2 linked regions of the Arabidopsis thaliana genome follow. The protein of the gene in region 2 interacts with the protein of the main gene of each other region in a pairwise test. Each region holds a gene or a part of one and is shown on either strand. Other genes may lie near its edges.

Region 1 (3,914 bases), on a different chromosome or scaffold from region 2:
TATTCGCCATTGGGATCTCCTGGAACAACGTGGGTGAAGGCCGATGTTTTAAAGAGTCCGGTTATTGAAATGATTGCTAAAGAAATCGGGAAGTCTCCCGCACAAACCGCGCTTCGATGGGGACTTCAAATGGGTCATAGTATACTTCCCAAAAGCACAAATGAAGGAAGAATCAGAGAGAACTTTGATGTCTTGGGATGGTCTATTCCAAAAGAAATGTTTGACAAGTTTTCCAAGATAGAGCAGGTAAGTGAAACAATAAACCACATTTCTGCAAATTTCGTATCTGTGAGTAGTCTTAACTGTAACCTCTTGTATTTTGGATTTTGAATCATCTCTGTGCAGGCTAGGTTAGTCCAAGGCACGTCGTTTGTTCATGAGACGTTGAGTCCTTATAAAACACTTGAAGAGCTTTGGGATGGTGAGATCTGAATCAAAAGATGTCTTTTGTTGAATTTTAAAGTTGAAAAAGAACAAAGTTCCACTGCTTTAAGCTTTGATCGAGAATGTGTAAACGATTCAATTTTCAATAAAAGTAGGATTTTGCAGACATATTAACAATCTCTTATGTTCATACAGTAAATCACTAATCCGAGAGGTTGATGATAGATAATCTAACAGTTATATTTGAAAGAGAAATATAGACGAGTATTAGACTGTAGATAGAATCTGATTCCATTGGCCTCAAAGCCTAATAATTATCTTTAATAAAGCAGAAAAATCGAAAACATGAATTCGCATAAAGAGAAACTAACATTTTCAATTCAATGACAAAGCCACATAGCTAATAAATCGAAACCTCAAAAAACAAACAAGAGCTTATGACATTGTCAGATTGTCTCTCACTGTTGTTTAGCTTCGACCTTCTTCTTCTGCCAGAGCCTGTCCACGCCACTGTCTGCGTCTCCCTGCAGATGCAATCATAATGTCAATATACATATACAATCATGAACTTTGTTATAACAACTGTGGAGATGATTATAAAGTAATTAGCAGAGTGGAAATTCACAAACCTGAGCACGGACAAATCCGCAGAGAGCAAAAGTGGTGAATTGGCCAGTGTAGAGACCATTAGCATCAAGATGACCAATGTTAAGCTGAACTGAAGCATGATCCTTTGATGTGATCATTCTGTTTGTTGCCGAGCTAAACAAATTACCATTACACAACAATAGAATCAGCTTAGGCTACTTAATTAAGACAATTAGCTTAAGATTTTAATCAAACGTTACACAGAGAACAAAGAGAGCTGATATATACCATTTCCTTGGAATGTAGAGCTCTGTGACCTGACCTGCGTCGTTCTCCATTTTTGAGATTTAGCTTCAAAAAAAAATCGATCTGAGCAAGTAAACAAACAAAAAAACTAATCAGATGAGCAATAGAACCTCGAATTAAGAGATTCATCAAGAATAATTGATCACATTCAACAATAATATATAATCAACAAAAGACACAACGAGATAACTAATTCTGAAATCGAAACCTAGATTATTCCGATGCGTTAATTAGCAATACAGTGAAAGGAGATTAAGATACTACGGAGAAATTCTCACCTGCGAGGAAGAAGAAGAATCTGAGAGAGGTTTGGCGGCGACAAAGATAGGGTTTGCTTAATTCATAGGTTTATTAGATTTATAGTAGCGAGCTAGGGTTTGCTTATTTCATAGGAATGACTACTATACCCTTCAACTTTTAATTGAAGAGCAATAAAAACCGATCCAATTAGAGCGGTATACAAAATTAAATCAAACCGAAATACTAAACTTTTTCAACCAGAATTGTACCGACAGTTAATTGTAACCGGAATCGAACGTAACCAAACCATAAATACTGGTTCAGTTTGGTAGTAACTTAAGTTCATTCAATTTGATAACAAACTTTTATTATTGGTTCAAATGTTTGCTTCATGGATGAATTTTTCAGATTTTCTTGCATACTTTTTCCCAAAATGGTTTGTGGTAGACAATTGAGAATGATACACATAAAATGGTTGACAAGTTTGTTCTCTGTTTTGTAATAATGAGGAATTCAGTTTTTCTTGTTTGTGAAATTTTGACTCTTTATCGAAACCCTCTCAAGAACCTGAAATCACACATCAAAAACAAAGTACAAGAGACACAATATATAATCTAACGATTGTGACTGTTAAAGTTTAACAACTCATACAAGTATCACTTCACCCAATGTGTTTCTGTCCCGAAACTGCGGTCTCCAGCGTCTCCAAGCCCAGGGATTATGTACCTAGTTCATGACAAATACATAAGGACATTAAAATACAATCGCCAGTTTTCATATGGAAAGCCAAAGAACCTAATGACTTACCCCTTTTCATTGACTTCAGGATCAATAATTCCAGCATATACATGAAGCCTGAAATGTTTCAAATAGTAGCCAAACAGTTTAGTAAAAAGAGAGTTAACTAAATGGTAAGCAAGGTGAGAGTTGATCTTTTGCTATTGATTACCCGGGGAATTTCTCGTTAAGCTTCGATAGTGCAGGAGGTGCAGCAATCGCACAAATCTGTAATCAGAAAAATCAAAACAATTAACACTTCGATTTCTGACAAAAGCTGTTTCCTATATATATGCTTACCACTTTGATTTGCTGAACAGACAAACCACGTTCCTTCAATAGATCCATCGCCGCCATTATGGTACCACCTAAAATACAAGTTACTAAGTTACTAAACCTACGCTTCTAGCTATGAAACATTCGTATTACCATGTCATGCGTTCACATTCACATATTATCGTGTACATTTGAACATCAAACCCTAACTATACTTCTAATATGGAGGTGGCTAAAATGATAAGACTTTCTTACCTGTGGCAAGCACTGGGTCGACCAAAAATACTCTTGAATTCTTGGGAAATTCATCAGGCAACCTAAAGAAGATGTATCAAAGGTGTTATTATAAACACTTCAGTAACTACAAACACAATGCTGCAGAGAAGTTCTTACTTGTTAAGATACACCGATGGTAAAAGTGTTTTCTCATCTCTACTTACTCCTGTAAAAGAAAAGAAGCACGGGGACATCAATAAGCTATTTGATAAAAGTTTTCATTTTTGACATCCGAAGTTCAGGCAAGAGATGATATATAGCTAGATTACTAACCTAAATGATAAATTTTATTAGCAGGTAAAACTGAGGATGCGTGTTCCGCAAGAGCAAGACCAGCTCTTAATATCGGAACAACCTACACAGAGACAAAACCAAGAATTAGAAACGCTTACATGTAAGGTCGAAAAGAAAATATAGACAGGAAGAGTTTGAGGGATAAACAAACCGCAATAGGCTCTCTAGGATCAATGAATTCAACAGAAGCAGGACCCATTGGAGACATTATTTCACCCACAACAGTTGGCTTAACCGCATAGAGCAAAAAACAAAAAACAATAAGCAAAAAACGGGTAGGAAGAATTCAAGAATAATAGAGATGTGAAATTCTACGCACCAGCCACTCTCGTGATGCTTCATACATGAGTAATCTCCCTAGTTCAGCTATTGCATTCCCTAGATAATTAAAAAAACTCAAGCTTTAAAGATCAACACAGACTTATACTAGTAGCAAACCTAAAAAAACTCATATTCAAACGCAATGTAGCAGATAACACCAATCTAAGAGCTAAAGATTGTCCAACGAATCAAAAAAAAAAAAAAAAAAAATGGATGTAAAATTCAGTTCTTTAACAACAAACACTGGTTAAATCGCAGAAATACTCATAAGAATCTTATCTACTCACTGAAAACAGGACAAGGAGTTTGTTCATTTCTCAGAACAGAGATCCAGTGTTTGATCAAAGGATGTGGTGGCACAAAGACCTGAAACACCAGAATCAAATTCACATCTTTCACTTTCAAATCAAACTCAAAAAAAATCTGAAAATTGAAATCCTAGAGTTTTATTA
Region 2 (4,421 bases):
ATATACGTTTGGACTGTTTCCAAGAACTTATGGAAGGCTTTATCCCAAAAAATAATTGCAGATAACTCACCTCACATATAACCACCCCATCCACAAATTTGCAAGGTATATCTTCCAAAATGTCCCCAGGAAGCCTGCCAGCCTCAATAGCCTATAAAGCGTACAAAGGGATTAAAAACATTTACTCAGTAGAATGAAACTCAGAAAGTGTATTTAACAAAACGCGAGTAAGTAGTGCAGTGAAATGCATTATTCGGGTAGAACAAGTGGGGAAAAAAAACATCATCTTCACATTTACTAAATCTAAGTACTTTGAATTCATTCACCAAAACTTTGATTACATGTTCAAATCAAGTCTATAATAACATAGTTCGAAAGATTTACCGAAAGGAGACCCTCTGCTGCCCTATCATACGGATGTAAGACCTTTGGAACATCTCGAAACGATATCTGTTGCATAGCCTGGTATTCAAAAACTCAAATTTGTGAAAACGTGAAGGTTTTAAAACTCAAATACAAGAAATCACAAGATAAATAAATTCATATAGACTCTCAGTACATACCTCAGAGGTTTTTCCTATAGAGTACCCATTTGGATAGAGGCTCAATATGAAGGAAACTTCATGATCTGCAGAGAAACCAAAATGCACTCAATTCAACATAGCTAGAATTTAGCAAAACATTATGTGTCAAAGTGGTTCGTTGAGATCCAAACCTGGAGATATATCGGGTAAAGATGGCTTCGAAAACCCGGAAACATCGCCAATATTGCTATCATCAGTGGCCTGAACCAAACGTAATAAATTTTCTATATAACTTTCCAAAATAAGCGAATTTAGTTGGAACACAATACAACTAAAATTCTAAGTTAAATTACCTTTGGTTTCCCAGATAGAACGATTGCTTTTGGGGAATCAGGAGTAGCCAATTCAGTAGAAATCTTAGGTCGAAACTTTCTACCAACCTTCGATATCTTAAACGAGACACCCATGGATTCTCTCCAGAGAGATGAAGCTCAAACCTGTCTAGGTACTGTCAATAAACGATACAGAAATAAAAAAGACACGAGAATTGAAGAAATCGAAGAATGAATTTTAAGAAAGCTAGAGAAATTGAAACCTTATGAGCTTGTTACAGAGAAGATCATCAAACAATTGGATCGGATAGAAAGCGAGAGAAATCAAAGGTGACTAAGAATAGAGCAATGAAGAATTCATAAACATGGAATTTGTGAAACACAGGTGGGAAATTTTTGAAGAAGATGCGATCGGAAGAGAAAGGAAGAGAGATTATTGTTAGGGTTCTTCTTCTAACTTCAAAGTAGCAGAAAAAGAAATTATCTTTTGTGTCTCTGTGCACACTTGGATTTCGGTTTAAGACAAAACGGAAGTTGAACCAGTTATTAATTTTGGTTAGCTTCGATTAAAATTTGGGTAACCGAGTTTGGGGGTAGAATAGACATTTTGCAAATTAGGGTTTTGCTTGATATATAAAATCCTTCACCCTTATAAGCCTTTCGTCGCCTCTTCGTGTGATTTACTGAGTGAAAAAAGCTTATCGCGGCGATTAGTTCCCGGCGAAGAAGAAGAAGAGAGATAAGAAAATGGCGACTAATGGATCTGCTAGCTCAGCGCAGCTCTCTCAGAAGGAAGCTGATGTCAGGATGATGTGTGCCGCTGAGGTTCATCTTGGAACCAAGAATTGCAATTACCAGATGGAGCGTTACGTCTTCAAGAGACGCAACGATGGTAATTTCTCGTATATTTTTTGATAAACTATCTGTATGTATGTATGTTGATGGTTATAGTGTTGAGATTCTGTGTTGATATTTCGGATTTGTATAAATGTTGATGATCTGTTTATTTGGTTTATGCTGCTTTGTTTTAGATGGTTTTTGGATTTATAGGTTGTTTTATTGTATCGAGAGTAGATTTTACTCACGACGGATCTAAATATGTCGCTGACTGAGAAAAGATAAAATGTTGCAACTAGCCGTTTTTGTCAGCACGCTCACTTCTCTGCGTTCGTATCTAAGAAAAGGCTTTTGTTTCTGTGTCTTCTCTAGTGTTCTTGTTTACAGAAATGTATGAACAAATGATCAAAGGCTCAAGTTTCATTTCTATCTCTCTCTGTGTGTTTGTAAAAAAAAAAAAATTGAGATTTTAGTTTTGACTGATGTTTGAGATTGTATTTGTGCTAGTGTGTGTTATTGTTGCTCTTTTATTGTAATTTACAATTGTAAGTGGTGAGTATGGAACTTAGTTTTTGAAGTTTTCGTCATTCTCAGGTATTTACATCTTCAACCTTGGCAAAACATGGGAAAAGCTCCAGATGGCTGCTAGAGTTATTGTTGCCATTGAGAACCCACAGGACATCATCGTCCAGTCAGCTAGGCCCTATGGACAGAGAGCTGTGTTGAAGTTTGCTCAGTACACTGGAGCCAATGCCATTGCTGGAAGACACACTCCTGGTACCTTCACCAATCAGATGCAGACATCCTTCAGTGAACCAAGGCTGTTGATTCTTACTGACCCAAGAACTGACCACCAGGTAAACTCTTCATATGATTCATATACTAGTGATTGATTAATGATTTTTGTTATTGATAAATGTCTTGTGTGTGTTGCAGCCTATCAAGGAAGGTGCTTTGGGAAACATTCCAATCATTGCTTTCTGTGACACAGACTCTCCAATGAGATTTGTTGACATTGGTATCCCAGCCAACAACAAGGGAAAGCACAGCATTGGGTGCCTTTTCTGGCTTCTGGCTCGCATGGTCCTTCAGATGCGTGGAACCATTGCTGCTGGACAGAAGTGGGATGTCATGGTAAGAATATCATTCTTGGAGCTCTTAGATTAGAAAGGCATCTGTTCATTAAAAACTTTCCCTGTTTATTGACTGAATTTTTCATATGGTATGGTGTTGTGCAGGTTGACCTGTTCTTTTACAGGGAACCTGAGGAGACTAAGCCAGAGGATGAAGATGAAGCTGGCCCTCAGGCAGAATATGGTGCACTTCCTGCTCCAGAATATGGAATGGTAGGTGGAGACCAATGGACCACCGCTCAGATCCCTGATGCTGCATGGCCAGGAGAAGGTCAGGCACCAATCTCTGCTGCACCTGCTGCTGCTTCTTGGAGTGATTCCGCTGGTGAGTTTTTGATAACCATTTGAACCCTATTCTAACAGATCTTGATTCTAATGTTATGTTTATTTTGCTGTTCTAGCTGCACCGGCAGATGGTGGATGGGAAGCTGCCGCGCCACCCTCAGGGGCACCAGCTGCTGGTTGGGAGTAAAGTTGATAGCCTTTACTCAATGGTTTAATGGTTATAGACATGCTTTTTTGTTACTTTTGGGATTGAAGAGTTATCGAACCGTAACTGTTTTTTCTTCTCACTTGTTTCTCTTAAGACCCTTAGATGTTTTGCACCTTTTTGTTTGAATCGAATCTATATTTTGCGTTTATCACAAATATGAATCGAGCTTTGTTCTTCCCAAACATTATTCTCTACATTCTTACAACTTAAAATATCGCAATCTTCAAAACAATAGTCGTAGTGGCCGTTTTTGTTTGACACTGGCTAAGGTTTGAAGAATAAATAGCAAACAGACAAGTCGAAGAAGAACTCATTTAAAACACTCATGTCATTTGTACAATAGAACCGTTCAGGACCATAGACCCATGTCATTGCCTCCATCAAAGAGACTACTCAGAGACGTTGAGGAATCACAGTTTCCCTCCGTAAAAGGCATCTGCGAGAAATATTCGGTCTGGTTCTCAAAAGCAAGAAGCTCTTCAGAAAGCAGAGAAGCATCAACGTTGTTGGCTTCTTCACTATCATTAGGTTCATGTTTCTTATTCGCATCGCCCATGATGATATCTTCGAGCCATTGTGTATCAATCAGAAGCGTGTCCGGATTATTCTCCTCCCACAAGAAATCAAGACAGCTACTACTAGGCGCTGAGCTTACCACCGCCACATCAAGATCAGCCTCATGATTCTCCTCTACCTGTTGCACAGTCTTAGCCTTGGCTTTCCTCTTTCCAGAGGATTCGTTAGGGAAATTGAGCTTAGCTTTGGCTCCACGGATTCTCTTAGCTTCAAGATCATAAGCTCTTGCAGCTTCTTCAGCTGTGTTGAAAGTCCCGAGCCAAACTCGAACTCCTTTGATTGGATCACGTATCTCAGCCGCCCATCTTCCCCAAGGCCTTCTTCTGATTCCTTTGTACCGACTGCTCTGTTTCTTCTTCCCATCTGATGCTGAGCCTAGCCATGGATAAAGTTCAAAGCTTTGAGACATAGAACCAAACGATGAACATACAAAACATCAGAAAACAGAATCGTAACTCACCTGAAGCATGATGTTTGTGAGTAGAGGAGAAGACAAATGGCTCATCGGACTCTAATTCATCGAAAT

What was found.
Region 1: the proteins of P40 (region 2) and AT3G53890 interact in a two-hybrid assay, tested with the Arabidopsis thaliana proteins (one large-scale study listed by BioGRID).

What each region holds. Positions count from the first base shown.
Region 1 is NC_003074.8:19,954,740-19,958,653, forward strand, and holds AT3G53890 (Ribosomal protein S21e), read right to left. Parts: upstream 1,711-3,914; 5' UTR 1,557-1,710; intron 1,342-1,556; 5' UTR 1,311-1,341; coding exon 1,261-1,310; intron 1,147-1,260; coding exon 1,014-1,146; intron 909-1,013; coding exon 843-908; 3' UTR 605-842; downstream 1-604. Other genes in the region: AKR4C11 (NAD(P)-linked oxidoreductase superfamily protein), read left to right, coding at 1-246, 346-432; UPP (uracil phosphoribosyltransferase), read right to left, coding at 2,175-2,244, 2,326-2,373, 2,468-2,523, 2,596-2,663, 2,827-2,888, 2,965-3,013, 3,121-3,202, 3,293-3,370 and 2 more.
Region 2 is NC_003070.9:27,242,025-27,246,445, reverse strand, and holds P40 (40s ribosomal protein SA), read left to right. Parts: upstream 1-1,514; 5' UTR 1,515-1,603; coding exon 1,604-1,748; intron 1,749-2,287; coding exon 2,288-2,550; intron 2,551-2,629; coding exon 2,630-2,827; intron 2,828-2,931; coding exon 2,932-3,151; intron 3,152-3,227; coding exon 3,228-3,298; 3' UTR 3,299-3,601; downstream 3,602-4,421. Other genes in the region: AT1G72390 (nuclear receptor coactivator), read right to left, coding at 71-151, 385-462, 564-628, 716-785, 878-991; ERF73 (Integrase-type DNA-binding superfamily protein), read right to left, coding at 3,669-4,270, 4,356-4,421. UniProt on the Arabidopsis thaliana protein: Required for the assembly and/or stability of the 40S ribosomal subunit. Required for the processing of the 20S rRNA-precursor to mature 18S rRNA in a late step of the maturation of 40S ribosomal subunits.